2 linked regions of the Notamacropus eugenii genome follow. The protein of the gene in region 1 binds, or shares a complex with, the protein of each later gene. Links are inferred from orthologs where the notes say so. Each region holds a gene or a part of one and is shown on either strand. Other genes may lie near its edges.

Region 1 (16,213 bases):
AACATGCTGCACACATGTTAACTTTACTGTATGTACTCTGCATACTTTATTATTAACTTTACCTTTCATCTCATAATTCTGCTTATTATGGTACAGTATTTAATATATCTGCACTTTGGTATATTTTGTGACTTGTATTAAGGTATTATTTTGTTTATGCTTTTGTCATATATGCTAAATGAAGTAGGTGGGAAGGGGAAAATTCACACAATGTAAAAATTGCTCTAAATAGAGATCTGTGGAACAGTCTACTTATATAAAGTGAGAACTGTCTGTATGCTAACATAAGATCAAAACAGGTATATGATTTACACATAAAGGGTGATATCATAAGCAAAGTAGAGAAGCATGGAAAAAAATTATCTGTTATATCTATAGATAAGGGAAAATTGTATGCCTACACAAGAGATAGAGAGGGTTGTGAGAGATGCAAAGTGGATAATTTTGATCACATGAAATTTTAAACATTTGTACAAACAAAATCAATGCAGCCAAAATGAGAAGTAAATCAGGAAACTGGGGTGGGGAGGATTTTATAGCAACTTTCTCTGATAAATCCTTCATTCCTTGTTTATACATAGGGAACTGAGTCAAATTTGTAAACATAAGAGCCATTCCCTAACTGAAAAATGGTCAAAGGGTAAAACAAGTAAGTTTCAGAAGCTGAAGCTACCAATAGTCGGGTGGGGAAAAAAAATCTCTAAAGTACTAATAATTAGAAAAATGTAAATTAAAACCACTCTGAGATACCACCCTTCAGATTGGCTAACATGACAGAAAAGGAAAATGACAAATGCTAGAGGAGATGTAGAAAAATAGATACACCAGTGCAACATTGGCAGAGTTGTGAACTGGTTCAATCATTCTGGAGAACAATTTGGAACTGTCTAATACCACTATGAGGTCTGTATTCCAAAGAGATCAAAGAAAAAATAAATGAACGTGTATGTACAAAAATATTTATAGAAGCTCTTTTTGTAGTGGCAAAGAATTGGAAATTAAGGGGATACCCATCCATTGGGAAATGGCTAAACAAACTGTGGTAAATGATTGTGATAGAATACTATTGAGCCATAAGAAATGATGAGGGAGATAGGGTCAGGAAAACCTGGGAAGACTTCTATGAACTGATGCAAAGTGAAGTAAGCAGAACTAACAGGATGTTGTACACAGTAATAGCAATATTGTAACAGTTATCAGCTGTGAAAGACTCAGCCACTCCAATCAATGCAATGATCCATGATAATTCCATTCTCCAGAGAAAGTACTGATGAACTCTAAGTGAAGATTTAAACTTTTTTTCACTTTTTTCTTGCTTTTTTTTTTGCAACCTGGCTAATATGGAAATATATTTTGAAGGTCTTCACATGTATAATGGGTATCATATTGCTTGCCTTCTCAATGGGTGGGGGGGGGGCTGGAGAGAGGGAGAGAATATGGAAATCAAAATTTTAAAATGTTAATTTTTTATTTAAAAATAAAACATTGTAAACACTGAAGAACCCATAATATAGCATTAATGTAAAATGTCCTAGGTTTAGAGTCAGGAAACTTGGTTTTGAGGCCTAGCTGATATTTAAATGATTTATGACAATAGTTGTCCCTTAATTTTTCTAAGCCTCAGTCTCCTTTTCCATAAAATGGGGATAATAGCATGTATACCATCTACCACATAGACTTGTTGTGAGAAAGTACTTTGAACATCTGTAAGTGCTATGGAAATGTTGAATTATTTTAACATACAAACTTCCAAGTTCCTGGATTCAATCAATATATAATCACACAACACAAAGTGTGTAGTCCTTAATTTATAAAGGCAATATAAGGCATGTAGGACCATAGAATCATAGATATAACCCCTATGTCAAGACTCATTGTTATGGAACTCTCTCCTCATTAGTGGAGATGAATGCCCTATCCTGAATGAGAGGTAGGATGGAGTTGACAAGAGGAGCTTCAATTCTCATCTGGTCCCCCTTTTCCTGGTCAGTTCCTTTTGGGACTCTTGAAGCATCAGTCTTCTTCAAGACTCTTCAAACTGCAAGTTGCTTTGGGTGCTTCTGACTTCCTGCTTTGAGAACAAAAACGGAAGAAACCAACCCCATTTCAAGTTGCTGAAGGAAAGACTGAGAAAACATGTGAGGAGCTGGCAGTCTCTATCATGGTCCTATTCCCCACTCGCTACTCTAGAGATTTCAGGTAATTGCCCCTCCAGTGAGATGTTGGTTGAGCTGTTACTTCACTCTCAGTGGGCTTCTTCACTCTCATACTGTCTGGTATATATTCTCCCTTGTATACATTCCCTTATTTCTGTTTTGTTGTTGATTTGTATAAATAGGTTTCTTTGCTATATGTGTGTTCATTGTAGAACTGGTATTAGGTGGAGAAGGGGTCAAGCCTTGTATACAGAGCTTAGGATCCTTATTCCCAAAAGGACAAAGCTATCAAAAGTTGCATGGAACCCAATCATATCCCCTTAGATTAACAATATTTAAGGAAGCAGATAAGATATACTTCTAGCCCAGTATTCTATCTGAGGAGATCAGAGTGGCCTTAGCCCCCAATTTCTTGCTTACCCACTTGCAAGAATGAAAGCCTCCCTTGGAAAAAGCCAAGGAGAAAAGAGACTAGAGATGTCTATTCTGTCTCCCTTCAAGCCACACAAGGATAAACCGTCCCCATATGTGGCCCCTCTCCACATGAGGGGCTCACTACCCTTTCCTTAATAGGTTTAGAGCTAGAGAAAACCTTAGACATCATATAGTCCTAAATATTCATTTTACACATGAGAAAACTGAGGCCAAGAAATGTGCTAAATTTTGTCCACTAGGGACAATGTATATGTGATGTGTCTTTGTTTCTAGATTCCCTCAGACTCCCAGTGACCAATGACATTTATTTGTAGAATGGTTGACCCAAAGTTAAGAGAGATTGTCTCTATGAAAGAGCAAAGTCAATTGACTTTTCTTTCAACAATGTAATTAGTCATTTAAGTGGCATAATGAGTAGAATTCGGCACCTGGAGTAAGACTCAGCTTCCGTGAGTTCAAGTTTGACCTCAGAGACTTTCTCACTCTGTGATCCTGGGCAAGTTAGGTGACTGTTCCTCACCTGCAAAATGAGCTGAAGGAGGAAATGTCAAACCACTCTAGTATCTTTGCCAAGAAAACCCCAAAATGGCCACAATAACAACAAATCACACAATTGGTATCATACTCTAATCAATCGATATAGCCAATCATACTATCTAAGCTGGTTCCTTTTATACTGATAGCTCTAGTTGACCATTTTCTGTTTCCAAACAAGGAATTTTCAAACATTCTTGTACTATAGTGCTTACATTTAATATGATTTAACATATTAAGGAGAAGACAAGAAACATGTATTAAGCATTTATTCTGTGCCAAGCAATGAGAAGACAAATCCAAGCAGGCAAGACAGACCTTGCCCTGAAGAAGCTCGAATTCTGGTGAGGGAAGACAATACACAAAGGAGACCTGGGTGGGAGGGGTGCACGGGGAGGGAAGGGCACTTCACTATATCATAGAGCAGGCCAATAAGTGGTTTAGGGAATAATGCGAAGATAATTGAAAGTCCAAGTGGAAGAGGCATGGATAGGGAGCAGGTCACTACTTCCACTGGTCATTTTTTTTTTAATATTAGCAGATAAATTCCAAATTATGCATAATTGAAAATGACTTGGTCTTTCATATTCTTTTCTATTCTACTAATCCTTAAAAGTCTGTGTGCTTTTTAAACCACTAGGTGGGAGCAATTGTCTCAGAACACAAAGGTCTGAGAAAAGGAACTAAGGAGGATATGAAGTTTTTGCCGATTATCAGGGGTTCTTTCTCCCCTTTAACAAATATATAAACATATGCATATTTAAATAAACATAAGCATTTATGTAAACTAGCTTATATGCTTGCTATTTTATTTATGTGTGCACATGTATATATATTTGAGAAATCTCATTATTGCTGTTGAAGAAAATGACCAGTTATTGAGTGCAAGAGTATGATTGAATTACAGTAATGAGTATGGTGACATGATAGCTATCTTCAAGTATTTTTAGAGGTTGTCTCATGGAAGAGGGATTAGATTTGTTTTGTTTGGCCCCAGAGGGAAGAACTAGGAGCAACAGGTGGAAGTTGCAAAGAGGTATATTTAGACTTCACATAAGGAAACTCTTACCATTAGACCTATCCAAGAGTGGAATGGACTGTCTCAGGAGGTAATGGGTTCTCCATTGCTGGAGGTGAAGCTACTTGCCAGTTATGTTGTAGAGGGGTTTTTTGTGTGGGTGCATATTGCACTAGATGGATTTTGAGACTTCTCCCTGAATTTGACATTCTATGAAAAAATTCACAAAACAAAAAGAGACAAAACAAAAATTTACAGAAGTCACTGCAATACCAGAAAAGTAGTGATGTTATTTACGCTTACAAATTTTCTTTTTAAAAAGTTTTATTGATGATGAAACAAACAGCAAAAGTAATAATATAGTAACCTTATCTGAAAGTTTATACAACATTTCACATTTGTGGGTCTTCCCACTTGTCTAAAAAAAACAAACAAACCAGAAATCTATTTTCTCTCCTACTCCCATTTAAGCTAAACAAATTCCCTAAATGGCTGCATATAAAATATATGTCTCATTCTACATCCTAAATCCATCACCTTTATATGATAGCCTACTACTGAGTTTACCTGTCTCAAGTTTCTCCACGGCAATCCATCCTCCAGTCACCAAAGTGATTTTTCTAAGGTGCAGGTCTAACCATATTACCTTCCCAATCCCCCTCACCACACACCCCCAACTCAATAAACTCTAGTGGCACTTAACACCTCCAGGATCAAATATGAAATCTTCTGTTTGGCATTCAAGTGCATTTATAACCTAGCCCCCTCCTACATGTCTTCTTACAACTACTCCCTAACATTTATTCTTTGATCCAGTGACACTGGTCTCCTGGCTGTTCCTTAAGCAAGATAGGCCATCTTAAGGCTCCAGGCATTTTCTCCAGCTGTCCTACATGCTGGACTACTCTTCCCTCCTGCTCCCTATCTACTAACTCCCCTGGCTGCCTTTAAGTCCCAACTGAAATCCTGTCTTTTACAGAAAGCCCTCTCCAGTCTCTTCATTCTAGTCCCTTCCCTATCATGTATATAGATTTTTGTAAATTTTTGCTTGTTGTTTCCCCCATTAGATTGTGAATTGCTTGGGTGCAGGGACTGTCTTGCCACTTTTTATATCCCTAGCGCTTAGCATAGTGCCTGGCACGTATTAGAACTTAAAAAATGTTTACTGACTGTAATGGATAACATGTTTCATTATCAGTCCTCTGAAATCATGAATGGTTATGGTATTGATCATAGTTCTTACAGCTTTCAAAGTACTGTTTTAGTGTTGCTATTATATAAATTGTTCTGGTTCTGTTCATTATTAAAAGTCCTCAAATTTTTTATTTTTATAATATGGATGTTACAATTATTCTTCTTTGGTTACTTCATTTTTTGTTAGTTCATATAAATTCTCTAGGTAACAATCCCTAAAGTTCTAGCAAGCTCTTTTCACTAACCTCAAACTGCTTTAACATCTGATGTCTCCGGTAAGGCAGCTTCCTCCTCTATACACTTCTCATTGCTCTACACGTATTCAGAGTGTCAAAGATGGAAAAGACCTTAAAGGCCATCAAGTCCAAATTAAATCTGCACAAAAATCCTCTCTACAACATAGTGGACTAGTGATGTCTAGCCTTGGCTTGAAGATCTCTAATTGAACTTTCTATACTTCCTATGTAATCATTTTTTAAAACATTTGTCTTGGCTAGTACTCTAACTGTATCAATTAGCAATCAGTCAAAACACATTAAGTGCCTGCTATGTTCCAGACTCTAGAAATACAAAAATAAAAATGAAGCAGTCCCAGTATGAATCTGATAGCTATCATCCATTACCTTGTAAACTCCTTGGGGACGATATAGGATTCCTGTAGTCTTAGAGTGACCTAAAGCACTTAGAGCCAGTATGTGAGGCTTGAGACCAATTTTCTACTCACCACCAAAATGAATTCAACAACAAAAATGCCAATAGTCATCATATGCTTTATTTAAAAAAAAATAAATTTGTATTTGACTCTAATGCATCTTGATCTAGAAGCTGGAGCTGAAAGTTTATACTGTTTTTCCTCCTCAAGAACACAAAGAGTGGAGGAGGAGGCAGTTCCTAGGACAAATAACATTGTGTGTCCTTCCCCACCTACTCAACCTTTTTTATAATTGAAATATGCTAACAATGAACCTTGAAGGAAAAAGACAAGAAAGTCACAAAAAAGCAGCCTGTAGTTTGAGGGGGTGGTTTAAGAAAGGGACATTATCTTCAAGCAGCTGGCCTTAGTATTATGCATTCATTATATACACATGCTATAGGATCCCTGTAGTCTTAGAGTGGCCTAGAGCACTTAGAGACCTCAGTAGGCCTGAATTACTTTTCCAAAAGGAGAGGGTAGACTGGATGACTTTCTAAAGGCTCTTACAACTCTAAATCTTGTAACAAAGACCCTCAAGCCTAGTCCTTTCAGAAACAAGCTGGGGGATGGTTTTTAGCAGCTAGACCCTTTTTTCTTTTTTTATTATATTATACTTAGCCAAGCTTTAAAGTTTGCAAAGCACTTTACCTATTAGTGATTAACCTATTATCTCTCAAAATTTTCACAACCCCAGGGAGCTGGGTGCTATTATTCTCATTTTTATAAAAAAAAAGGATTAAGGTCCAAGGACAAGGTACCTCTCGGGTGAGATTTGAAATACAATTCCCTCACTGTACTCTCCACATTTCTACTATCGACTAAAGAATTTATCATTATTCAACAAATACTTGTTAAGCGTTTACCTTCGGCCAGCCACGGTTCTAAGAGCTAGGACTACAAAGACACTGTCTCTGTCTTCAAGAAGCTCGGATGTAAATAATAAGGGAGAAAACACTAGCATTGAGGAAAAGCTCTCTGTGGAACATGTGATTTTTAGCTGGTACCTGAAGGAAGCCAGGGAAAGCAAGAGATAGGGAGGAGAAAAGAGAGAATGTCAGGCGGTTAAAACTCAGTCTAGAGACGGTGTCTCGTTCAAGAAACAAGCCAGTGTTACCGGATAGGAGGGTAGGTGCGAAGCAGTATGTTGTAAGAAGGCTGTTACGGCGGGAGGAGGCCGGGTTAGGAAGGGCTTGGGACGATTTTCTCCTTGGGGGTGACGTGGCTATTCCTGGGTTGGCTAGGGCAGAGACTCGAGACAGGCGGACCACGGCAGGCTGTTGTAACTGCCCAGCGCCCCCGAACCGCGCGGCGTCCGAGCAGAGAAGTTAAAAATCGAGGGGTCCAGAGAGGATTCGAGCATTCATTCATCTCATTCTTACCACACCTTCTAAGTGTTTGTATTCCTCTCAAAGGGGCTACAAACACAATTACACCGCCCCGGGCTGGGAAGCAAAAACTAGACAGTCCTAGCCCTCGGGATGTTTACACTCAAAGCGTGTAAAAAGAGGAGCGAATCCCCGAGGCCCGCCCTTGAATCGAGATCTAAGGCTTGCCGAGCGCGGGCTGCTTAGGGGATCCCTCTCCCAGGTAGAAAGCGAACACAAAGTAATAAGGGGGGCGGGCCTTCACGACGGCGGGAATCAGGCTGGGCCTCTCTTTTTTCTAGAAATCGGCTACTAAAAGCAAAGAAAATGGGGAGGCAGGGGGCAGGGCCGACAGGAGGGGAGGCAAACAACCGGAAATTTCCCTCAGGAAGGGTCCCCAAGGTGCTTCAGGCCTCCGCGCCGCGCCGAGGTCCCCAAGCGCTCTCGGCAGGCCAAAAGGCTTAAAAATGAATCTCCCCTTAGAGAACATGCGCAGAAGTAGTTAACCGAGCACTGTGGGCGGAAGGGGCCCCAGCAGCCAACATGGCAGCCAGGCCCTGGACCTTCTCCGCCTGCGCCTCAACGGCCTCCTTCCTCTAGTCTAGTTCCCTGTAGGCCCCTCCCCCCTCTGAGCAAAACCTGCCTGACGCGTCAGTCGCTTCTGCGCACGCGCATCCGTGGCCGTCCCGTGAGCCTCCCGGAGTCCCCAGAGCCAGCCGGAGTGGCCTTTGCAGCCACCGTCGCCGCGGCCGCTCAGGGAGCGGGGGGCGGGGCGGGAGGGACTCGCGCTGCCTGAGCGGCTGGGCAGCCGAGGGAGCTCGAGGCGTCCGGGGCCTGGGCACAGGGATCGCTGCGGGGAGGGGGGGGACCATGGTCCTGCGCCAGGGCCGGTGACGGCGGGGCGGAGCGGAACGGAGCAGCCTGGGACTCTGAGTACGTCTCTCCCCGGGAGCCTCGCCCTCCTCCTCCTGCCGTCGCCGCCGCCGCTGGCCGCGATTATGTCCGGCCGCCGTTGCGCCGGCGGGGGAGGACCCGGCGCGGGCGCGGCCTCGGCGGGGGAGGCCGTAGAGCCCGCGGCCCGGGAGTTGTTCGAGGCTTGTCGGAACGGGGACGTGGAGCGCGTCAAAAAGTTGGTGACCCCGGAGAAGGTGAACAGCCGCGACACGGCGGGCAGGAAGTCCACCCCCCTCCACTTCGCCGCAGGTAACTAACTTAGGGGACCGCCGCCGGCCGGAAGTGGAGCGCACAGCTCCCCCCCACGCCCCGGGCCTGGGGCGGTCTGGGATGTTGCAGCCCCACACCCCACCCCCAGCGCCCGGGCCCCAGGCGGAACTCCTCGGCAGAACCCTGGGCCCAGGTTCCCCGAGAAGGGGGATGGGGGAAGCTGCGGGCCCTTGACACCACCCACCATGTAGGTGGCGTTTTGTTTGTTTGTTTTTCACCTCCCGAATTCGTCACCGGGATTTCCTGTCCTGATAAAGCGACTGGGTCGGGGACCACGAGCTGCCCTACTCACTCTTGGGGTGATTTGAAGGCTAGAGAGGCTCTTGGCCACCCCCACCCCCCCTCCGACCTATATGTTCACTCGTGTCCTACCAGAAATTTCTACTATTAAATTGTGGGGTTAAGGCACTAAAGGCCTTAGTTCTAATGCAAACGCTATAATACGGGGAGAATGGGGGTAATAACCAGCAGCGTTCATGTAGTAGTTACGGGGGGTAAGACTTGAATAATTCAATTCAAGGAGTATTTATTACAAAAATAGGTATAATAAAAAAATTTTGCAAACTGAAAGGAAAGGACCAGTTGGAGCTATTAGAAAATCGAGGGTGAAATTACTTTAAGGGGGGAGGGGGAGTGACAGAGGGAATACACAATAAGATCAGCAGATTGGCTGGCATACCTTTGGACTTGTCTCCTTTTACACTGGACTTGGAAATTTTGATTTGGAATGGGGGAAGGGGGGTAGTCAGAAAAGGGCCCAGCTTGATAAGTGGGTGGGACAAAAGGATTCCGGACAAATTGTGGGCCCCTAGTACGTCTACTTGAGAATTTGTTTGGGACTAGCCCTACCTAAACTTTTCATTGGAGGGGGGGGAAGGTGTCCTGTCCCATCCCATCTTTGCTAAGAAGTAATAAAGTCTGACATTTGTGTATCACTTTACAGTTTGCAAAGTTCACATGTATTGTTTCATTTAAAGTTTGTGCTAATTTTTTGTTTCCTTGTTTCCCTTTTTCTTGAACAAAAACCAAATTTGACTCTCACTCCCACCCTTTTTTTAAAAATCCTCTTGCTAAAACATGGGAGAGAAAGGGCAGTATGGGAAAATCAAAATGGGAAATCACCAAAGACTTGATGTTCCTATTTTATACAATTGTGTCTAAGGCTTTTTTTTAATGGATTCTGTTTTTGGCATGCCCAGCATTCCGGAACTTCTGTTAGGCAATGTAGGTTACAGTAAAACAACTGCTTCCTGACTTGAGGGAATGTAGCAAATTGATTTAATAATATGAAAATAAGATTATTTAGAGTCCACTCAGTCTGTGGGATAGGAAAGCATTTAGTAGAAAAAGCCTTTGAAGATGGGTAAAAAATATAATCTAGATGTCTGTAGTTATGTTGGTTTCTCCTCCCCCACCTTTATCCAGAGACCTCATGTTACCTTTCAACAACCCCCTACACCTAAATTTGCCCTCCAATTACTGATTATAAGAATTTAAAGGGGAGGGAGACAAGAACTGGGAAAAGTCTGTAAAAGTAAAGGTTAATGCAAGTTTTTTTTTAATTTAAATTTTGTAAATTCAATCTAAATGAGAACTCCTTAGTTTTAAAATAGTGAATAGAACTTGTACATTTTTTTCTTTCCATTCAGAAGAGTAATTCTGTAACCTCCATTTTATAAACTATGTAATGTTGATACAGTGATATTTTGTAAATATCTATGTTGGGTGGTTCTCTATGACTAATAAGCATATGTGTATGGATATACACACACACATACATACATACATACACTTATAATGTTTTTGCTTGTATTTTGTAATAAGGATTTTGAATAACTTGCTTATCATCTGTAAGGTAGTTCCACTTTACATGGAAAAGCTGACTTTTCATTTTTCTGTATCAGACAACATTTATTAAGTGTCCACCATGTGCCTAGTACTGTACGTAGCACTGGGGAGATTAAGAAAAGCAGCAGTTTCTGTCCTCAAGTATCTTGCATTCTGTAGGAGACAACAGTACACTATAAGTAAATACAAGGTAATTTGTGAGAGAAGCAGTAATGAGGGGTGGGTCAGGAAATACTTCTTATAGAAGAAGGAACTTGAATTGACATTAGAAGATTGATATTCTAAGAGTTGGAGGTGAGGAGTGGGGCCCATTACAGGCATGGGGGACAGCCTATGCAAAGGTATGGAAGTTGAAAGCACAGGTACAATTTTTGACCTTTGTATCTCTAGCACTTATCATAATATACAGTAAGTGCTTAATAAATGTGTTTTGATTGAGGGTGACCTCTGTGAGGAGCAGCAAATAAGCCATTTTGGCTAAACTTAAGAGTGTATATTAAGTTTTAGAAGTGGGCTGGAGCCAGACTGAAGATCTTTAAATGCTAAACAGAGTATATATTTTGTCCTAAGGGCTATAGGGAGCTACTGGAGCTTTTTTTTTTAGCGGGATAGTGACCTGCTGCTAAACCAGCTGTCTTTTGAATAAGATCTATTCAGCATCTATGTGGAGGATGGATTAGAAGGGGAAAGCCTGGAGTAGGAGATATCAATTAGAAGCCTTTGTAGTCCTTCATATAGAGGTGATAAGAGTAGTGTCTGTGAGAACAAAGATAAGGGAATAAACTTGAGAGATATGCCGACTTAATATGTGGGATAAGAGAGTTCAGGGTTGAGGACTTCAAGATTATAAATCTGGTTAACTAGAAGGATAGTAATCCCCCTTAACAGAAATAGGGAATTTCTGAGAAGAGATGGGATTGGAGAGAAAGATGAGTCCTGTTTAAGACATTTGGAGCTATGAGATCCAGTTGGTGATGTAGTTTTGGTACTCAGAAGAGAGACTATAGCTGGATATGTGTAGGTCTTGATACATAGACTCATCACATAGAGATAATAGTTAAACCCATGGACACTGATGATCACTAAAAGAGACAATATTGAGAGTGAGAGAATTTCATTTTCCTTGGATTCCTAGTCAAATAATTACATTTTAAAAAGTCATGGATTTCCCACCCCCAAAGTGGTAGTGGTAGCATGAGGGCCACATACTGCAGAAAAGGAGCCTTAATAAGTAGTATGTACAGCCAAGAAATTTTTAGAAAAATTCTAGTTCCAAAAAGTGGGAAGAAATATCAACTAAGTTTTGCAAGAGTTTTTGTCTAAATATTTACTTTGTTGACTTTTTTAAAAAACAGGAAACTCTTCAGAGTCTTAGATACTTTTCACTATAGAATTACATCCCATACTTTTATCGAGGGTTGAGTTCTTAAGGGAAAAACATACCAATGGAATTGAATTTTCTGATTAGGTATCAGATTCTCATTTTGTGCATGTATTATTTTGCTTATTCCTACAGATCATTTTCCCTAGAATACTTCAGTTTGCATGAGCATCAGCTCAGTTTGAACTCTGTCTCTTCTAACAATCTCCCAAGAATTAGATAAAATGAGGTGTTTGCAGAGTGCTTTGCAAACCTAAAAGCACTAAATAAATGCTATATATTATTATAGGTGGGGGAGTTCTGCAAAAACAACCAGTATGTCCAAAAACTCTGACATGATATGGTGTTCACTTCATTCTCAAACCCCCCAAAATTCTGTTTAAATACTTTGGTACATATGAGACCTTTCTTTTTGTTACTGATTTTCTAGGGGATTATGCCTAGAGGTACAGTTTTTAGGTCCGAGGTCCAGACATTTCAGTACTTCTCTTCAAATAATTCCACGTTGATTCACAGAATGGTTCAGCTAGTTGACAACTCTTAGAGAACCATACCCTCTGTTACCTGCCCTTCCATTTCTGAATATACCTTTTAAAAAAAAGTTGTTGGTTGAGTTATTCTTTGCTTCTACATTTATATCTTCAGGCAACTACCATTTTTATTCATTACTAAAATTGTTTCCCTTTGAATTCTTGAAAGTCTTCGCTCTTGGGTTTATAGCTTCCTTTGTAGAATGGGTTCATGGGTTCCTAACTAGCCTTCCACTGAACCCTTTGAATCCTGTTCTCCCAGAACCTGTAACTCCCAGAATGTCATTCCCAGTGATTCCTCTCTTTCTCCATCACAAACTCTAAGAGGTAGTGCTCACTTCTCTTCAAGGTTCATTAACAAGCATTTATTAAGCTAGGCACTGTGCTAAGTGCTAGGGATCAAAAGAAAAAGTAAAGAACACACGGTCTAATAGAGAAGAAAACATGCAGACAACTATGTAGAAAGAAGCTATGTACAGAATAAATTGGAAATAAGCAACTGAGGAAAGGCCCTGACATTCAGGGGAAATCAGGAAAGGTTTCTTGCAGATGGTAGGATTTAAGCTGACATGTGAAGGAAGCCAGAGGGAAATAGGAGAGGAAGATGGAGGGGGAAAGGGTTCTGAGCGTAAGGGAAAGAAAGTGAAGATGCCCAGACTTGGGACATATAGTGTCCAGTTCAAGGAATATTAAGGAGACCAAGGTCACTTAAAAGGGGGGGAGGGGAATAAGGAGCAAGGTTCTCCTCCAGAAACTAGCTTTTCTCTGTTAGAATAAGATTCAGTATAAAATGTGTCTTTGTTGGTTCCTTCACCTTTTGAAAGCTGAAATTGTCTTTAGGACAAATGCATTGCTTTTGGTGGAGGTATTGCTCCAGCAAATGATTGAATGTTTGAAATCCCACATCACTATTTTATGCCTCTATGCCAGGCTTGTGATGTTTCCTGAACTGTTTCTTCTTTTCTGTCCAGAAACTCTCTAGTATGTTCCAGTGATAACATATGTAGTCTACACTTCTCTTAACTCTTTTCATTGACCTTTGCTAAGATGCTGTCTTCCATGCTCTGCTTCCTAAATACTCTTAACCTGAGTATTCCTTCTTAATGCTCCCCTCCTTTTACCTAACCTTTTTCTTTTGAGTAATTTATATTTTTTCAGAACTATATTCCAGGCAGATTTTATCCCACTGAGCCTCAACAATACCAGTGTAGTCAAATTTGCTTCCTTATGTTTAGACCTCTAGTTCGACTTGCTTTTTATGTAAACTTGGGGCATTTATGTATAGACATTTGAAATGCTGGGTTTTACCACTGGAGACTTCTTGGATTTTGCTTTTTGAGAATTTTCGGATGTCTCATTTGCTAGTCTCTTTTTTTCATAAATTGTAGCTACTCCCTATATCTAGCTTGGTATATGTACTTCGGCAGTTTTCTTCCTCCCCAACACATTTTAGTTTTAAACTTTTTTTATTAAATTTTTAAGGCACTGAGAAAATACATTCTTACTAGCATTTGTTAGTTGTGCTCTGTTCTTGATCAGGAGTCTGGCATCCCTGCATCTTAAGTCTTGATCTAGAAATCAAAATCTTTTCTGTTCAGACTTTTTGTAACCTATAATGTGAACTAGAGGAATATGATTGTATACATTAGGACCAAATACATTTAATTCTTCTTTAAAAAGAAAAAGTTGATTCTAACAATAATAATAATAAATATTAATAAGCCATGGTTTTCTTTTGGAGTACACTAAGGGAACCAGTCTTCGGACATTTGAATATCCAGAATAGTTCCAAACCTGGAATTAAGAAAGAAAAATACAGGACCTTTTTGAAATTATCTAAAGAACTGAAGAAGATTCACACAACTGATAGGCTGTGACTCTTTAGTTTTCTGACCATTAGCTCCATTAGATTGTAAAGCTTCTTGAGGGCAAGGACTTTCTTTTGCCTTTTTCTGTATCTCCAGCACTTAGCACAGTGCCCGAGACTCAACAGGCACATAAATGTATTCTGATTGATTGACCAAAAGGGAAGGGAAGAGCTCCAATTCAAGAGCCAGTCTTTTCAAGTAACCCCAGAGTGAACAGAGACAGAAGAGACAAGAAAGAAGTACAGACAGAAGGAAAAGGAAAACTGAATGCAAGAGCATTTATTAAGCCTTTATTGTGTGTAAAGCACTAGCAGTACACTTTCTAATAGGGGAAGACAACACATATAGGAGTCTTCGGCTGAATATCAGATGGAAAGGCCCACTAGTTCTTAGAATTCATCTTCTTTTGCATTACTTCCATTTTTAAAACAATATTTGTTTGTTAGTTGAACAGTTTGAAAGTGTCAAGGACTTTGGTGATGAGAACTTTCCTAGATGAGTCTTCAGTAGCTGTGATTAAAGGGAAGGAGTGGAAGAAGTCTTCGTGTACTATAGCACCCAAGGGTCATGCCTTCAAGGGTTATTCCTTTTTCGTGGTGGCAGAGGGCCAGTGGTGTGGGGTTGGGGGGAAGGAGTGTGGTGTTACTTTCCCAGCTCTTGGCATATAGTGTTAGAGTCTTTTCCATTGGATCTCAGGGAAGATGGTGGCAGTGATTTGATTCACCTAGCACATGATGTTCCCATTTCTCACTCAAGAAACCTTGCTGCTCTTTCTATAAATTCAGTGAATCATGGACTGCAACATACTATTCTGTTGTATGGTGTTGACCTGGATGAGGAAGTTCTCAGACATGAAAGATTTTGTCACTCTTTATAAAGGAGAAAATAGAGGGTTTTCTCACTTACCTAACTCTGGTGCCTCAGTTGCCCTGCAGAGTACCATCTTCCACTTGAATGATTCATTACCTAGATAAATGCTACCTAATCCCTCAAGAGAGAAGAGGTAGCAGTGTTAGAGTTGTGAAAATTACAAATGGAAGGGGGGCAACAAGGGGAGATGAAATGAACAATAGAGCCCTGTAAAAGAAAATAAACACTGGAACAGCTTTCTGAACTTAAGGGCAGTAGCCTGTTTTTACTGTACCCAAATCACAGACATAGGAAATTTGGTGGAGGAAAGCTCCAATCTAACCTCCCCAGCCTTATTAACATACTATTCCTCTTTATGTACTGAATGGTCCAACGTGGCCTTCCACGTACATAGCACTCCATTTACCATCTCCATTCTTGGTGCTGGCTGTCTCCCATATCTGCCATGCACTTTCCCCTCACCTTCATTTCTTAGAACCCCTAGTTTCCTTTAAGACTTAGTTCAAGTGCCAGCTTCTACATGAAGCCTTTCCTGAGTTCCCAATTCTTCGTATCCCACCTCTCACCTTTTATCTATTCCTATATAAGTATGTACATGATTTTCCCATAGTATATAAACTCATAGAGGGCAGAGGCTTTTTCACTTTTGTCATTATATTTCTCTAGAATCTGACTAGGAGTACTGCTTATTGGTTAGTGGTTCAAAATCTCTAGGGGTTTTCCTCTATTCACTATTAGTCCACATGGCAAATAAAGATACCATCTGAGCAAATACTCAGCCTTCTTATATAAATGATCTTAAGATAAAATACTGCTGAATCTCTTCCAAAGATATATATGAACATAATCATCAAAGAAAACACCAAGTTGCCTTGGTTTTACTTCATATTTCAGAGGGGGAGGGAGGATTGGATCTAGAGATTTGGATCTTATTCTTGATTATTCTAATTTCCAAAATACATCCTTTCACTTTCTACTGGACCCTGTTCACTGATTTTTATTTCCTAAATTGATAAAAGATAAAAACTGTCAGAACTGCCGAGAACCTTTAGCTACAGTCTCAGGACAGAGTCTATGTTCCAAGATTGCATATTATA
Region 2 (16,248 bases), on another chromosome or scaffold:
TTCCTACCTGACCAGAGACCTTGAGGAGAGAGAGGTTTGGACCATAAACATCCTTTGACTGCTGCTATGTGGCATGTCAACTCATGAGTTCATAGACTTAGAGCTTATTTAAGAGATCCAGAACTACCCTAGGGAGCTGGTTGGCCTTTCAGAATATGAGTCAATAAGCACTTTTTAAGCATTTTCTATGTGCCAGGTGCTGTATACTAGGTATTGTACTAAGCACTAGTAATATAAAGAAAGGCAAAAGACTTCCCTGCCCTCAGGGAGCTCATAATTTAATGGTGTTTCAATAAAAATGTGTTGAGGAGGGGAGAGAAGAGAGGGAATAAATAACAATATGGACACCTTTTAACTCCTTCCCAAATCTGAACTTTCTTTTGACTGTCTATACTTCCCTCTTCCTTGAAAAGTGGTATCTTTTATCCTGATTTCTCAAAGAGCAGGTGGTGCACTGGAAATCAGAAGCAAGTTGAATTGTAAACAGAGCATCCTATTGGGAGTCAGAGGACCTAGGTTCCATTCCCAACTGTGCTACTTACCACTTATGTATGTGACCTTGGGCTAGTCATTCTCTAAGCGTCATTCTCCTTGTTGGCTAAATGGGGTAGGAGAGTTGGATTAGATTATCTTTAAGGGCCCTTCCATCCATCTATCTATCTTTCTATCTAAATCTATGAATTCATGAGTTGAAATGTCACATAGCAACCAATGCATATTTCCTTCCCCTAGAGTTTATAGTATGAACCTCTCTCAAAAGGGAATGACCCTCACATCTGGATCCTATAGAAAATCCCCCTGGACTATTGGCAGCTAAAACTAAGGCCTCTCCATGTTAACAGGAATTTTCTAGAACTGTATTTTTCCTCCTTCAAACTACCCAGTCACCATAATTCAAGTCAACTGTGAATAAGAGGGCAGGTCTCCATAGTCATGGCAACTTCCATCTCTATAAGGGTCTGAGGTTTACAGAATACTTTCTCTACAACTGCCATTTCAGGTAGCTAGTGTCAACACTATTCCCATTTTAAGGATGAGAAACTGAGGCTCTGCAACCGGGTCTTCTGATTCCAAATCCACCAGTGCCCACCATATCTCCCACTTTAATATGCTATCACATGAGCTGTACTTTGACTTCCCCAACAAGGGATTGGAGCACTTCAGCTTTAGTATTTCTAGACCCAAATTTGGAGTCAAAGACAGTCATACTAAGCCTTGATACAGTTTCTTTCATTTCACTTTTGGGGGAATATGACCTGAAATGGAGCACTCTGTCTAGAGTCTTTGTGGGCAGCCCAGGTGGGTTACAGGAAGAGGTAACATGGAAGGACCAAAAGAAGGGTTCCGTCTCAATTTGGGTTGGTCTGGGTACCCTTTACCATCAGATCCCAGAAGCTTTCTAAATGAGAAAAATCACATAAATATTAATTCCATTTATATAGCAGTCACAGTCCTGTGAGGGAGGGAGTGTATTATTTTCATTTTTCATATGATTCGCATAACTAATAAATGTCTGAACTAGGATTCAAACTGAAGTCTCCTGGCTAAGTCCAGTGTACCACATCATACAACTTCTCTTTTGTGGGGAAGAGGTAGGGGTGGAAAGGGAGGGAACCATATTTGGGATTATTGGTTTGGTCAGGGAAAAGTTGCATACAAATATTTCCCAAAAGTACTTCACTTCCTAAATTTTCACAGGCTTGATATGTCTGGTTTTTCTTATTTTTATTTTCTCTATTCTGATCTTAAATACCAAATAAAATAAGCACCTCCAAGTAAAAAGCAGAACAGGAAAAGAGGACCACTCAGGCAACCACGACTTCATACCACATACCATTTGCTTCTCTCTTAACTATAGGATACATGCAGCATCTTTTTTTTCCAAGCTCTCCTGTCTGTCTGGATTTCCTACCTACTCTCCTTCTCTTTGTGTATTCCTCAGTTGATAAGTACTCTTTTAATGTCTAGTCCTTTACCACTACAAAAAGATTTGCTACAAATATGCTTACATGTGTAAGTCCTTTTCCTCTTCCTTTGATCTCTTTTGTTATATATAAGCCTAATGATATATTATCACTGCGTCAGAGGATATGTAGTTTAGTGACTCTGCAGGCATAGTTCCAAATTGTTTTCCAGAGTGGTTGGACCAATTCATAGCTCCACCAACAATACATCGATGTGCCTATTTTCCCACAGCCCCATCAACATTCGTCATTTTCCTTTTTTTGTCATTTTGCTAATCTGACGAGTGTGAGGCAGAACCCTAGGATGTCTTCTTGATATGACACTTTTTCCTTTAAGTGTCATTGGGGAGCCCAAAGAAGATAACTTTAGCCCTCTTTCATCTCTGGGGGAGAAAAGACTAACATGAGTCAATTACAAAATAATTTAAGACCTTTTACTATCATATACGGTAGTAAATCAGTTCATTTTTTTTAAGTCATTTACCTAGTGCTCCTAAGTGCAAGGTGTTGTGGGTGACATAAAGTTCAATTGGAAAAATATTTGTTGATCTATGAGTAGGAGTCTACAACATTCAGAAAACACCCAGTGTCTGTCCTTAGGGAATTTGCAGTGGCTATAGATTCAGATAATTATAATACAAGGCAGAATATGACAAGTTCCACAAGAAAAGGCAGAATACGGAAGAGAAGATGACAGAGAACCAAGCTGTTGAGTTGAATGGGCTCAAGTACCAAAAGGAAAGGTCTGGGGAGATGCCATAAAGCAGGGCTGGGGTGAACTTTAGGGATAGGAAAGCAAGAGGTCCATATAGACTGCAATTACATTCCATCTGACTGCTCCTGTGTGATTCATCACTCATTCAATGTATCTGGATTTAGGGATTTGGAGGGGTTGGTACTTAAAGGGCATCTAGTCCCTGCGCTTCATAGCTGAGGATGCTAGGGTCTAGAGAGAGAAATTGTGTGGCTGAAGGTCTATAACTGTGTCTTCTAATCCCAAGTCCAACAAACTTTTCATTATACCCCAAAGTGTGGGAAGGGGAGTGTCCTGCAGTTTTGCAGGTGTCTATAATCTCTATGCATCTCTAAGGTTTCTTTTAGCTCTGAACAACAGATGTGACAGGCAGGGGGGCCGTGGAGCCAGCAACTTAACTCTTTAGAAAGCAGTAGTAATTCTCTCCTTTTCACTCCCTAGTGGAACCAGAGCTTCCCCAACTTCTCACCCAGACAATGCTGGCTTCCTTACCTCATTTGCAGTGTGATAAGGGGAGGGGATTGCCCTGTGGCTTCCCCTTCAGTGAAGGCAGGAGGTGTTCTTCTACTTTCTCATGGTTAAGACTGAGCCGGAAGTCCTATGCTCAGCTTTGGGACTGCGTTTCCCGCAGAGTTGCAGAAAGCTTCTGTCCAACTGACCTACACAATTCCTCCCGACCCTCAGTTCAGTTTTGCCTGTATTTGTGCATATTTGTGTGCACATCTGTGTACGTATGTGTACATATATACATACAAGGGCCTGGTGTGGTATGTCAGAAAGTTTCTGTTGACTCTGACCCTAGACTTAAGAGATGTGATATCTTCTTCCCTGGATGGAGCTCCTGGATTCATGGGTCCAGGGACAGCTTATCTATAATCATCTAATTCACTTTTCAGGTAAACCTTCCTATCTTAGAAATCCATCCACTAAGTTATTGCTGGAGATTTAAAAAAGAAAAAATAATCACTCCTTATGATGAATATTCCACTACAGAATTATTGAAGCCTTTTCACATACATTATTTCCCTGTTTTACCCTTTACCCATTTTACAACCTGATGAAGTAGGCAAAGCAGATTAACTTCTGGGCCTCAATTTCCTCATTTTTAAAATGGTGGTAGTGGTGGTAGTGGTAGTGTGTATGTGAGTGTCGGCGGTGGGGAGGGGGGCAATGCTATAACTTCTAAGGTCTCTTCCAGCTCCAAAGCTCTGATTTTTTTGAACCCCATTTTACAGTTGAGGAAAATGGGACCCAGGCCCCACAGTCACTTCAGAGCAGAGCTTGGATACAAGTGTCCTACCATAACATGGTGGTCTGTGCTTTATAATATTCAACTCAACTGTGCCCTTCCCCTGTGTACTTTTTTTTTCATTGTACTATGTACTGTGTATATGTATAGTACATATGTACTGTATTTTCACATTGTAGTTGTATGAATGCCTGTCCTCTCTCCTTGGCAAAAGCTGAAGACAGCACCTGGCCACAGCACCCTGGCATTTTGTCCCTCTTTGATGTGTTCAACCCTTCGAATGGTTTGAATTGAAACCCTGCCTCCTATTCTAGAAAGCCCTGAATATTCTCATCCCCACTGTTTCTACCCTCCCCTGTCCCCTGTGTTCCTACTACCTTGGGATGGATTCTCACCAGAGGTGAACATACCAGAGTCCCAGGGCTCCATTGAGAAGCCTGTTCTAGAAGCAGGAAAGAGAAGGAAGAAGAGCTAGGACTTGGTGAACTGCATGTGAGAATTTTATTTTAAAGTTCTCTCAGTGAGCTTGGAATCATAGGGTACCTTTCCCTGCTCACCAATTTAGAGGTGCCCCTCTTGCTTCTAGCTCTAAAAATGGATATGACGAAGGTAGGAGGAAATGAGAATCCAGCAACTTAACTATAGAAAGAGATAGCAATTCTCTCTTTCACTACCCCTGTGGAACTGGAGTCTCCTCAACTTCCCTCCAGGGCAAGGTGGTATGGGGATAGACTTGGAATTAAAGTCAGAAAGATTTTGAGTTTGGATCCTGCCTCATACACTTGTTTTCCCAGCCTCAGTTTCCTTATGGCTAAGATAAGGATAAAAATATTGCCTGTCCGATAAGGATCAAAATATTGCCTATCTCACAGGGTTATTGGAGGATCACATGAGATGAAAATCTCATTTGGGTAAATGGATGCGTCTTGTTTTGGTGCATGGCTAGCAAAATAATCCTTAAATCTCTCTATAGATGTTAGCTGTATGTTAGGTACCACTACCATCTTCCCTGCGACTGGGAATTCAAGAGGTATCCATTAAATAATCATTAAAATTGAGTTGAGTGCCAGTCAGGACCAAGGGCAGAATCTTGGCTTTGGTTTTTTCTTGTAAGTCAGTCTCACTGTAAAGAAGCTCTCAGACGTCGGTTGGGAAGTTCCACTGATTTTTCCTGAAAATACAAGATGATGCAGTTGTTGTGCAAAAGCAGCTGAATTTCCCTCATGCTTTGTTTCTCTCCCCTTCCCCCCATACTTTGCAATACTGAGTGTTGGGCGTTGTGCCTTATGCTACTTCCCCCTTTTTTCACTTCATAACAGTGCACCAAGAAATTCACAGGAAATGATGTCTCCAGTAGCATCTCTGATGAACTCTCGGGGGCATACTCAGTGGACAGTCTCAACTTTTGGGTGTGGTGGACCTTTCCTCTCACCACTGTATCCCTTCATCAGTCCATTTATGTGGCTGCCAAAATTATCGTCCCAAGACAAGTATCTGCCCATGTCACTCTTCTGCTCAGAGCCCCCTGTTAAATAAAGTGAGCCCCTAATCATGATTTTTAAGGTCCCCCATAATCTGGTTTCACTCTATTTTTCCATCCCTGTTCCTGTATTCTGCTTCATATACATGCTATGATCCAGTTCTCTGTTTTCTAATTTTAGACCTTTCTCCTCTGACCTTTGTTCATTTTTACAGTCCATTCTCTGTGCTTGGAACTTACTCTTTCTTCATCTCTGCCTGTTGAAAACTGTTTTGTCCCTCGAGGTCCAGTTCAGACCTCCTCCATAAAATGTTCCTCAATCCTCTCCCTCCCCAGATTTTTCTAGAGAACTTTGCCTACATTACTGCTTTGTCCCAATGATTACACTCTACTGTAAGTCATCCTCTGTACTGGTCATTCCCCCAGCAAATAGTAAACCCCCTGAGGGAAGAGAGTGTGTCATTTTCCAAGTTTGTATCCCCAAGTAGAGCACCAGGTCTTGTACGATGGCAGGTACTTAATAAGTTTTCTGTTAAGCTGAACTGAGTCTTCTGATCTCTTGTGCTATGACAGATCCTGCCTCTTATGAGAATCAGATTAGGAATAATAGCTGTGGCATTAGCTGCCACATGGAATTTGGGCTGAGTTATCACCAGATGTGAATATACTAGGGTCACAATGCTCCATTGACGAGGACTGTTCTAGAACCAGGCAGGCTGCCTGAGAAGGAAGGGCAGCTGTGGCTCAGTGGACTGCATGTGAGAACTTTATTTTAGAGTCCTCTCAGCAAACAGGGATTCACATCCTTGTGCAACATTTGTATTGGAGAGCAGCCTCTGAACACAGCCAAATTCAGCTCTCTTAACCTAGGGAAGGTAAAGCCTTGCAGTTAGAGCTTCAGCTCAGCCAGGCCTTATGTAATCTGATGGAGTTTGTGTGGCTAGGGAGAGTGGGGAATGCTTTAGAAGATTGGGTCTAACTTTTCAGCTGGGCAGCAACAGCCTCCCACACTGCATCCTGGTGCTCTGCAATGGCCAGTTGGAGACAAAGTGAAATTTGGGAAGGGCTGCATTAAACTACATTTTCCAAATGTTGTTTTCTAACCACCAGTTATTTTGGGGTGGTGGGAAGTTTCAACTTTATCTTCCTCAGAAAAAGCAGTAATGCAAGTGCTTTGGAAAGTATAACACAGCTAGGTGGCTAAGTAAGTGGAGCCTTTGTGCAAGCTGCTTGTTTGCCTCAGTTTCCTCAGTTGTAAAATGAGGGTAGTAACAGCACCTACTTTTCAGGGTTATGAACACATTAAATGAGATGGTATTTGTAAAAGGCTTAGCACAGTATGTTTTTATCATTATCATTATTGCATTGTGTTATAAGTTGTTGTGGTGTGAGAAAAATCATTGTGAATAACTAATGATCCAGGGACATTCAGAGTGCCCCCTTTCTTTTTCATCTTCAAGACCTTAGTCTCTGAAGGTCAAGTTAAACTTCTCTTCTGTCTGACCCAACCCAACCCTGTAAGAAACCTCTAGTGAATCTCTTCTGTGAACTGTCAACCAGTCAGTAAGCAGTTCTTAGGTGCCTACTGTATGCCAGTACTGTGCTAAGCATAGGCAGGAGGCAGTCTCTGCTTTCACGGAGTCCACAGCCTAACTGCACAGCCAGAGGAAATGGAGGGATTTGCACCCAGCCCCATCTCTCCTGAATCCAATACATTCCCTTTTCCAGTCTCCTTTTCTCTTCCCTTATGTGCCGAGGTGGATACTGGAGGATGCTTCGAGTTATTATTATGTTTTTGGAGGATATTTTCCTTTCTTTTTTGGTTACAAGAGTATAAGTATCTTGCAGACAAGGACTGAATCTTTTCAGGCCCTCCAGTCATAAGTGGCTCTGCCATTGATAAATTGGGTTTCCCTAGACAGTCACTTTGCTACTTCTCAGAGCCCAGATTTCCTCCTTTGTTAAAGGCAGATAATACCTCTGAGGAATGTGAAGAGTCAGTCAGATGAGAGGCGGGAAATAGCAAAAATCATAACAATAATAGTTAGCATTGAACTTTTCATATATTACTTCATTAGATCCTCAAAATCCTAGAAGTAGGTGCTGTTATCCCCATTTTACAGATAAGGAAACTGAGGGTGAAAGACGGTGCCCTAAGTCACACATCTTCAAAATATCCACGGCAGGATTTGATCTCAGGTCTTCCTGACTCCAAGTCCAGCACTCTCCTCACTGGGCTGAACTGTAGAGCACAGTACATGTAGAATACATGTTCACACTGCTATGGCACTGACAGGTTTTTAAAGTATTTTCTGGACAATTTTGTGAGGCAAGTAGTGGTATGTTATTTTTCTCATTTTACAGATATAGAAAATACATCTCAGAGCTTGTAAGTCATGGAGATGTGACCCGGACTCAGTCTAGTCAGATAGTCAACAGGCATTTAGTAAACACTGTCTCAGGTACTATAAAAATGAGAGACAGTAGAGACTGTAGATGACTCAGACTAGCATCTTGGCTGCTGGGTAACCTTGGGCAATCTCTCTGGGTCTTAATGTCCTCCTTGGCCTAGAACAGGGATTCTTAACTTGAAGTCCATGGAGAGATTTCAGGGAGACTGTGGACTCAGATGAGGGGGAAAATTACATCTGTGTGTGTGTGTGTGTGTGTGTGTGTCTATCTGTCTGTCTGTCTGTCTGTAAGTGTGTGTGTATCTTTAACTAACCTCTTACTGAAATTTAGCATTTCCTCCAGTTCTGAATAGGGCAGCTAGGTGGTGCAGTGATGAGAGTGCCAGACCTAGACTCCAAAGGATTCATCTTCCTGAGTTCAAATCTGGTCTCAGACACTTACTAGCTGCAATTTGTTTAATTCTTTTTGCTTCAATTTCCTCATCTGTAAAATTAAAATGAGCTGGAGAAGGAAATGGCAAACAAGAGACAGACGTAACTGAAGCGACTGAACAACCACCAATTATGAATGTAGGTAATAAACATTATTCTGAGATATCTCCAGACTTCACCAGACCCCTGGCCTAGATAATCATTAGGATCTCTCTCACTTCCGCAGCCTTTAGCTTTATTATTACATGTCAACAGGTATTTATTAAGGACCTACTGTGTGCCTGCCTACACAGTGCCTGAACTGTGCTAAGCACTAAAGCAACAAAGAAAAGCAAAAATTGTGCCTATTCTCAAGAAGCCCACAGTCTAACTAGGGAGACAACATGGGAATTTAATAGGAAATAAATCATTCAGAAATATTACAAGAGGCTTTAAACTGTAGTGGAAACTGTGCTGGGCTTGTGAGTGAAAGAGAAACTGTTTTAGGGCCACCTCAGCTAGGTCATTTGCTCTATAACAATGGAAAAGTAATTTCCTCTCTGAGTCTCAGTTTTACCATCTATAAAATGAGAGGATTTGGCATCTTTCAGTTCCAAAATTCCATTTTTACTCACTACTGAATTTAATTCAGACCCCTACTATATATTCCATAACTTTAAGGAAGTAGGCAGTCTCATAATGACAGAAGGCCACCTTGCCTTTGCTGGTTATAGAGTTTGGAGCATCCCCACCCTGAACCCTTGTAACTTCAGTTTTTTCAGAAGGGTATTGTCAGGAGTCAGAGTTTTATCCAGCTGTTTAGGATCAGCAGCTGCTCTGGGGGGGAAGGATAGGTTTCTTGTGTGTTTCTTTGCCAGATCCATTCATTCCATAGATATTTATTTATGAAGCACATAATGTCTACAGGATCTTGTCACACATTAGAACTAAAGGGGATGTGGAGAAATATAAGGTAGAGCCCTTTACTATTAAGGAGTTCATGAGCCTATTTAGAGATGCAATGGCATGAAAAGTTAAATTTTTTTTTAAAAGGCAAGATATATTATTCCGTGTCAAATGGTCCATATGGATTGTCAGAGCTTTAGAGAAAGGAAATCTCAGTGATTATGGCCTGGGACATGGTCAGAGAAGGCTTCCTGGAGGGCTCGAACTGATTCTTGAAGGCTGTGTGGCTGAACTCAAAGACTGACTAGCTGTGTGATCTAGTACAGTTAACTCTCTGCACCTCAGATTCCATATCTACAAAATGAGGGAATTGGACCAAGTGACCTCTAAATTCGCTTCTACGCCTAACAATCTGTAGTTCTAGATTTAAAAAAAATTCCCCTTATTTCATCTTTTTGTTCAGGTCCTGGCATGTCACACAGTAGGTACTTAATTTTTCTTGAATGGTGGGTGTGTATTGATACTACCCAGTGTATGAACAGAGTGTTATCCCTCCTATTTGAAGGTGTTACTACTGATGGATGCGGGTGTGTCTCAAAGAATCCATAAATAACAAAAAGCTTTGCTGCGTTAAGTGCATGTGAGAACATGTTCATTTGTCTGATAGCTGTAGCTGCGATTGCTGAAGTCTATCACTGTGTGTCTCAGGAGCCAAATGATACCTTGCCTCATAAATAGGGTCCACCCTGTCTCTGTTTATTCCTCACCAGGTTGTACTGAAGTCTGCCTCCTTTTCCCTGGTTTGCTTCATGCTTTCTTTATCCCTTCCCTGCTGTCACCTCCTCTCAGCCTGCCATCTAGCACCCCAATGGATTCAGCTTTCTCCTTCTTCATCTAGAGTCTGGGAGGTGGGAGAGCTGGGGTGGGGGTGGGGGTAGGGGGTAAAGAAAAACAATCACATTGAAGTCAAAGCCCTTGTGAGGTGGCTTCTGCAGGAAAACCCTGCATTCCTTAGGGAAATAAGAGAGCAGATGTGGTCATGCACTTTGGGGGGCAGCATTGACAAGAGAGGAGGGAGGTAAGAGCAAGAAATGCTTACTTGAGAAAAGAAGCCTTGGATGCCAGGAAATAGAGGAAGGAAGTCTCCATGGAGAGCTGATTTGGAAAGAGCCAGCTCAACAGAGGATCTGTTCGGGGACCGAGAAAACGGAATCAGGTGGAGAGATGGAAAGCTGGACCCGTAAGGGTCAGAAAGCCGTGGAGGCACTGAGGAGACTGTCAGGAGTAGGGGCTAGCTTTGAGGGAGACCTGGAAGCCTGCAGGTGTAAGGAAAGGCTGAGAGCTGGGCAGACGACCGAGGACTGCGCAAGTTGCCTTCATGTCCAGGATAGAAAGGACCGTGCCTGGGAGCAGTAAGTTACTTGTCATGCAGGTCACACCTCCTGTTCCCTCTCCTAAACAAAGGAGAGCAAATGCTCTGTGTGTTTCTATATGTGTCTGTGTGTGTCTCCCTGGAATTTAACTTCCTTGAGGATCACCAAGCTCCCAGACCTGTGGGAGGATTTTAACCTTTTTGAGGAATGAGAGGGACACTCTCAAGGTTTGTTTATCCGTTTTAAATAAAATCAGTGCACCAGGATAAAGACCCAATCTCTCTCCATTGTACGGCCACGTGTGCTGTGAGTACATGGAACTGCTGAGAGGACTCTATCTAGTCAAACCGGGCGGTCCCTCCTTTCCTTTCCAACATCAGTGTGAGTCTTTCTGTGTCAGGCTCATGTTTTTGAGCTGGAAATGAGCTGGGAGTGAGGGTTGAACAAATGCCTCGCCTTTTCCTACAGGGCGGGTTGGGGGGAGGGAGGGAGGGGTGCTTCCTTTTCATGTTTCATTATGTGTCTTCTAAATCTAACCCATCATATATTTTGCTTTGTGTATATGTAAGGTTGGAGTCTCTTTGTTTTTTCTTTTTTGAAGGGGGGCGGGGAGCGTGGGGGCGCGCTGCTGTGAGATGTAACTTCTTTGCCCCTAGTCTGTCCATTCTGAATGGTTTAACAGCAGTCAGTGGGGAAAAGAGCATAGCAGAATGAGCTTTGGCCTTTGGAAGACAGAAAACCTTGGTTCAGGTTTGGGCTCCTAACAATTACTAGCTGTGTGACCATGGGCAGATCACTTAACTCCTCCGAACCTCATAGTCCTCCTGTCAAATAAGGAAAATAATGCCTTCACTTCCCTGCCTTACAGGGTTTGGGGTTTTTGTTTTTGTTTTTGTTTTTTTTGGTAAGCGAAATACCATGACTTTAAAATACTATGGAAAATTTGAATTGCCATCACTATTATGATTTTTTAGGGTGTTTTGGTCAGTCTAGATTCCTTTGGCTGTTACAGGTTTTCTTTCACATAAGAAAGGTAGCGTTTCAGACCAGTCCTCTGTTAGAGGGCTGTGACTGAGTGAAAGACAGGTGCTGATTAATTCTGCATCCTCCCCCCCTTTTAACCTAGTAAGTAATTCTGATTCTAACTTTCAGGGAAAGAAAGAGGGGCCTTTTGTGCCACATCAGGCAGATGAAATTGGTTTTCAGGGAAAGAGCCCTGCTCCTGTTATCCCCTGAAGCTTATCCAGGATCAAAGGATGGCTCCATGATTCTTAGTTAAACAGCTGTAATTGACGCAAACAGCCATAGTGGGGAGTGCTTTGCTGTGATGGATCTTGGGTAGGGAGCAGAGAGGAGAAAAGTGCTGTCTGGTGAATTTTATCTCACATGCACCTCCTACAGGTATCCTTTCTAGAGAGAGCAGCCAGCATTCTCCTGTTGAATTGGAATGATTTTCTAAATTGGCAAGAAATCCTCTACTTTGTGCAAAATCTGATTTCTTCTTATCATATGCCCCTAGAGTATGGCTGTTAGCTGGAAGGTAGTTGGATTATCATTTCATAAAACAAAAGTATATTTCCCCCACTTTTCTGTTGCAGACCTTACTTAGTCCTTTATTTGCACTGCTCTAATGCATTTCTCTTGTAATTTATCTGTGTGGCTTACTACCTTGCTAGGTACCATGTGGACAGAATCTTAGTATGTATCTAACTGTGTATCTTTCCAGGGACTGGCACACAATAAGTCTTGATATTTGGTGATGGGAAATGAAGTAAATTGAGTGAGCATTAGACTTGAAGTCAAAAGGTTTGACTTTGAGTTTGAGTGCTAGCCACTAAAAAAATTTTCTAACCCATAGGTGTGTCCCTTTCCCTCTGAAACTCAGTTTCTACGTCTGTAAAGAGGAGGAGAGCATCATAGATTTAGAGCTAGAAGCGTCATGTCATTCACCCCTTGTGTTTCAAAGAGAAAGAAATTGAGCGCCAGAGGTTAAATTATTTGAAAGGATCCATCAAGGATTCAGAAACCACTGTTGCTTTTCTTTTCGTTAGAATGTGAGCTCGTTGGGACCAGGGACCTGTTTTTACGTTTCTTTTTAATCCCCATCTTTTAGCAAGATGCTTGGCACATAGGAGGCCATTAATAAATACTTGTGGATTCTCATAGTTAATAAACGGCAGTCAGGATTTGAACTCAGGTCTTCTGACTCTAAATCCACCATCATTTCCAATGTGCCTTGCTGCTCACTTACCTCCCAGTGTTGCTGTAAAGAAAGTGCTTCGTAAAGCACTATATATAGAGATAGATATATAGATAGATATAGATATTTATATATATACACACATACATATATATACACATACATATATGTTAATATAGGATCATAGGATTTAGAATTGAAAGGAGGCTTTAAAATAGTTTAGTCTCTGAATGAATCTAGGCAGATAATTTAATCTCAGCGTCCCTGGTAGTTCTCTAAGACTATAAATTGCAGATGAGGTGCTTGCATTGGTTGAGGATGGTTGTTCACAGGGAGTTTCCTGTACCAAGAAAATCACTAGCCTGACACCCCCCCCAAAAAAAATATAGTCCAACCCCTTATTGTACAGAAGAAGAAACCAAGAGAGAAGTGATTTGTCCAGTGTACCCAGGCAGCTGGAGTTGTTCCTTTGACTCAGAATCTCTTATTTCATTCTGCCTCTTTGTTGAGATGGTCACCTAAAATGATCATTAGTGCATCCTCTTGACCTCCAGAGTAAAAGGGACACTGATGCATTAAGCAAACCAGAAATATAAGAGTAATACAAAAAGTTGATTCTTTCATATTTTGTTGAATTAGGATAGATGTAGAAGATGGAGGAAATAAAGATGTTTTAATAAAGTTGGTGCCATCAAACTTTAGATTGGTCATACTCTTCTAGCTTGTATTAAGGGCATAAAAATCTGAATATCCACAAAGCCATTTTAAAAACAGACAATTTTTTAAAAAATCCCTGGGGATTTTCTGAAAAGCTGCCATGTTACATACTTCCTGGAATCTTTGAGACACTGATATATCTTATTTGTTATTTCCAGAAGTACATTCGATTTTTTTCTCCTTGTTTTTTTCTCCAAGTAATTGTCCAAGTCCCAAACCCAGTTCATCCTTTTCCATTATTTTCAGCTTGATGGCTTCAGAGGAACAGCATTGGCCTGTGCCAATGAAGGCCATTGGAGCTCAGAACCTCTTGACAATGCCTGGGGGCGTGGTCAAGTCCGGATACCTTCACAAAAAAGGTGGTACCCAGCTGCAGTTGCTAAAATGTAAGTCCTATCACTTATTTTCCCTTTCTGTCTCCTGAAGTCCCTACCCATCTAGCCACCTACCCTTTCCCACAATGGGCCTCACCATCAGAGTAATCTAGAGATATTCAGGGAGCCAACATGACATAGCCAAGAGAACACAGGACTGAGAATTGGAAGATTTTGCATTCTAGCTTAGACTCAACTGCTGTTGCTAAGCTGTGGGATGTTAGGTAGCTCACTCGTCACTATCTCAAATCACTCATCCTGAAATGTTGGTGCTAATGCTCCTTCTCCCTACCTCAAGATATTCCTTGAGAGGGTCAAATGAGACCATGTTTGTGAAAGTACTTTGAAGAGTGGTAAATGTTTTATAAACATAAAGTGTCTGTTGTATTGAAGAAAAAACACATTAATACTGTACTGAGCATTACAGGCACAAACCTGTCAGAAACCATCTTAGTTAATTTATTGTTATTCTTATCCAAGCATTTTTCTAGCTTAGTGGGAGAGATATTCAAACTGGCAGAGTCCCTTCTTGCTGAAGACATCTCTCCAGAACCACACATTTTTGAAATATCATTTACAGGAATTTTGAAAAAGGGAAATTTCCCATTACAGTAAAACATAGTGAAACAGTTCAGGGTCAGGTAAAAATTAATATTGCTTCATAGAACAGGACAATAAGTAACCTTTGAGGGGACGTTGTTGGAGTCATTTTCTTAAAGCCATTCGGTCCCTCTAAGATGGCTCTCCTCCAGGACCCTATTAGAATTATAGAATATAAGAGAATTAGAGAATCTTTTCATTCTATTTTGAATGTCCTGCACAAGCACACTGGGACAATGGTATTTTTATTTTGCAGAAATCCATAAATAACACTTGTCTTATGGCTATCAGTTAGCTTGTAACCCTTTATTTAGACAAGAAATCAGACAAGACTGAGGTGTGAATCTTAACTCCTTATACTTACCAGCTACGAACTACAAATGAATAAGTTAATCTTTCTGAACCTCAGTTTCCTCATCTGTAAAATGGGGAAAGTAATACATTAGTACAACGTCCAAGGGTAGTTTTGAGGAGCAAATGAGCCATCCCAGGTAAAGGGTTTTGCAGGCCTATAGCAGTATAGAAATGTCAGGTGGAGGCAAGGGCAAAGAGGGTTTTGGGAAAATTAATTTTTTTTAAATCAGCAAAATATATTAAAATAAACTTTTCCTTTCTTTATCTCTAGGGCCATTGCGGTTTGTGATTATCCACAAGAGATGTATTTATTACTTTAAGAGCAGCACATCAGCATCTCCCCAGGGAGCCTTCTCCCTGAGTGGCTATAATCGGTGAGTTGACTTGGTACCTGCAGGTAAGCAGGCATTCTTGGCCCCACCCCCGTTTTCTATGAAATCTAACAAAATTATCCAACACCATGTCCCACTGAGTTGTTCCCATGTGTTCTCAGTCAGTTACTTTGATCACTTTTATTGGCCATATAGCACCTTCCTGGAAATCACTATCCCCTTCCTATCCCATCCCCAACCCCTCAGCCCAGTGAGAGTGGGTATGGGAAAAGGATTATTATCCCTGAGTCATAGGCAAAAGAATTGCCTGATGCTAAGGAGGGAATTGATAGCTCAGCCAAGGTTAGAACTGACAGTCATCAGAATGCACTCTTGTTCTGGAATGTTTGGCATGTTATATTATAACATGCTATATTATTAACATCAACTATTATTTAATTATTATTATAATTTTTGCCATTTTACTGGCGCTCAAAGAGCTTAAGTGATTTGCTCAGGGTTGAACCATTTGAATGTCAGTAGCTTATTATGGAACATTCATTTAGCAAGCATATACCGAGGACCCATGGGACAGGTCTTGTACAACATGGTAGAATGATAAACTGGAGATATTCTCTGCTCTAGAACACTTAAGAATCCATAGAGGGGCCAGGGAGAGGGAACAGATCAGACTGGAATAGAGATACCTAAAGTAGAGAGCAGAGCGTGATAAGTACAGAGAGGTAAGAGCATCAGGTGTGGTGCTAAAATACACAAGCCCCTTAACTGGTCAGTGAAAGACCACAGCATTTACAGCTCTCAAAGTCATGATACCAGTCAGTCCTTGTTTGCCTTTCTCATTTCTTCTAAACAATCCCACATCCTGGTTGCTTGACAAGCTCTTCTAAGAAGGTGAGCTGAGTCATTTGAACTTGTGAAGTGCTCGGACCCACCTCTAGGTAGCTGAACCCAGCAGGGAGACCACACTGGCCCAGGCTGTAGCAAAAACTGAAGCCATTTGTGCACCCAGCAGGCTCTTAAATGTCACTGAGCTTCATGTGGCAATGTATTCGTTCATTTCAACAAATATTAATCCTCAGCTGTATCCAGAGTGCTGGGATCTGAGGAAATTGCAAACTTTAAA

What was found.
Region 2: the proteins of TNKS2 (region 1) and SH3BP2 are in contact, whole or in part, in a crystal structure (PDB 3TWR), measured with the Homo sapiens proteins. The link is inferred for Notamacropus eugenii from reciprocal best matches to the Homo sapiens genes TNKS2 and SH3BP2. Residues at the interface, in NP_079511.1 of Homo sapiens: Arg525, Ser527, His531, Phe532, Gly535, Tyr536, Asn537, Arg538, Leu560, Asn565, Ser568, Tyr569, His571, Asp589, Trp591, Phe593, Glu598, Lys604; in NP_001116153.1 of Homo sapiens: Leu413, Gln414, Arg415, Ser416, Pro417, Pro418, Asp419, Gly420, Gln421, Ser422, Arg424.

Annotation. Positions count from the first base shown.
Region 1 is NC_092872.1:208,561,081-208,577,293, forward strand, and holds the start of TNKS2 (poly [ADP-ribose] polymerase tankyrase-2), read left to right. Parts: upstream 1-8,237; 5' UTR 8,238-8,393; coding exon 8,394-8,598; intron 8,599-15,145; exon of another isoform or gene 15,146-15,227; intron 15,228-16,213. UniProt on the Homo sapiens protein: Poly-ADP-ribosyltransferase involved in various processes such as Wnt signaling pathway, telomere length and vesicle trafficking.
Region 2 is NC_092877.1:52,790,315-52,806,562, forward strand, and holds the start of SH3BP2 (SH3 domain-binding protein 2), read left to right. Parts: upstream 1-10,301; 5' UTR 10,302-10,399; coding exon 10,400-10,587; intron 10,588-13,711; coding exon 13,712-13,851; intron 13,852-15,064; coding exon 15,065-15,167; intron 15,168-16,248. UniProt on the Homo sapiens protein: Binds differentially to the SH3 domains of certain proteins of signal transduction pathways. Binds to phosphatidylinositols; linking the hemopoietic tyrosine kinase fes to the cytoplasmic membrane in a phosphorylation dependent mechanism.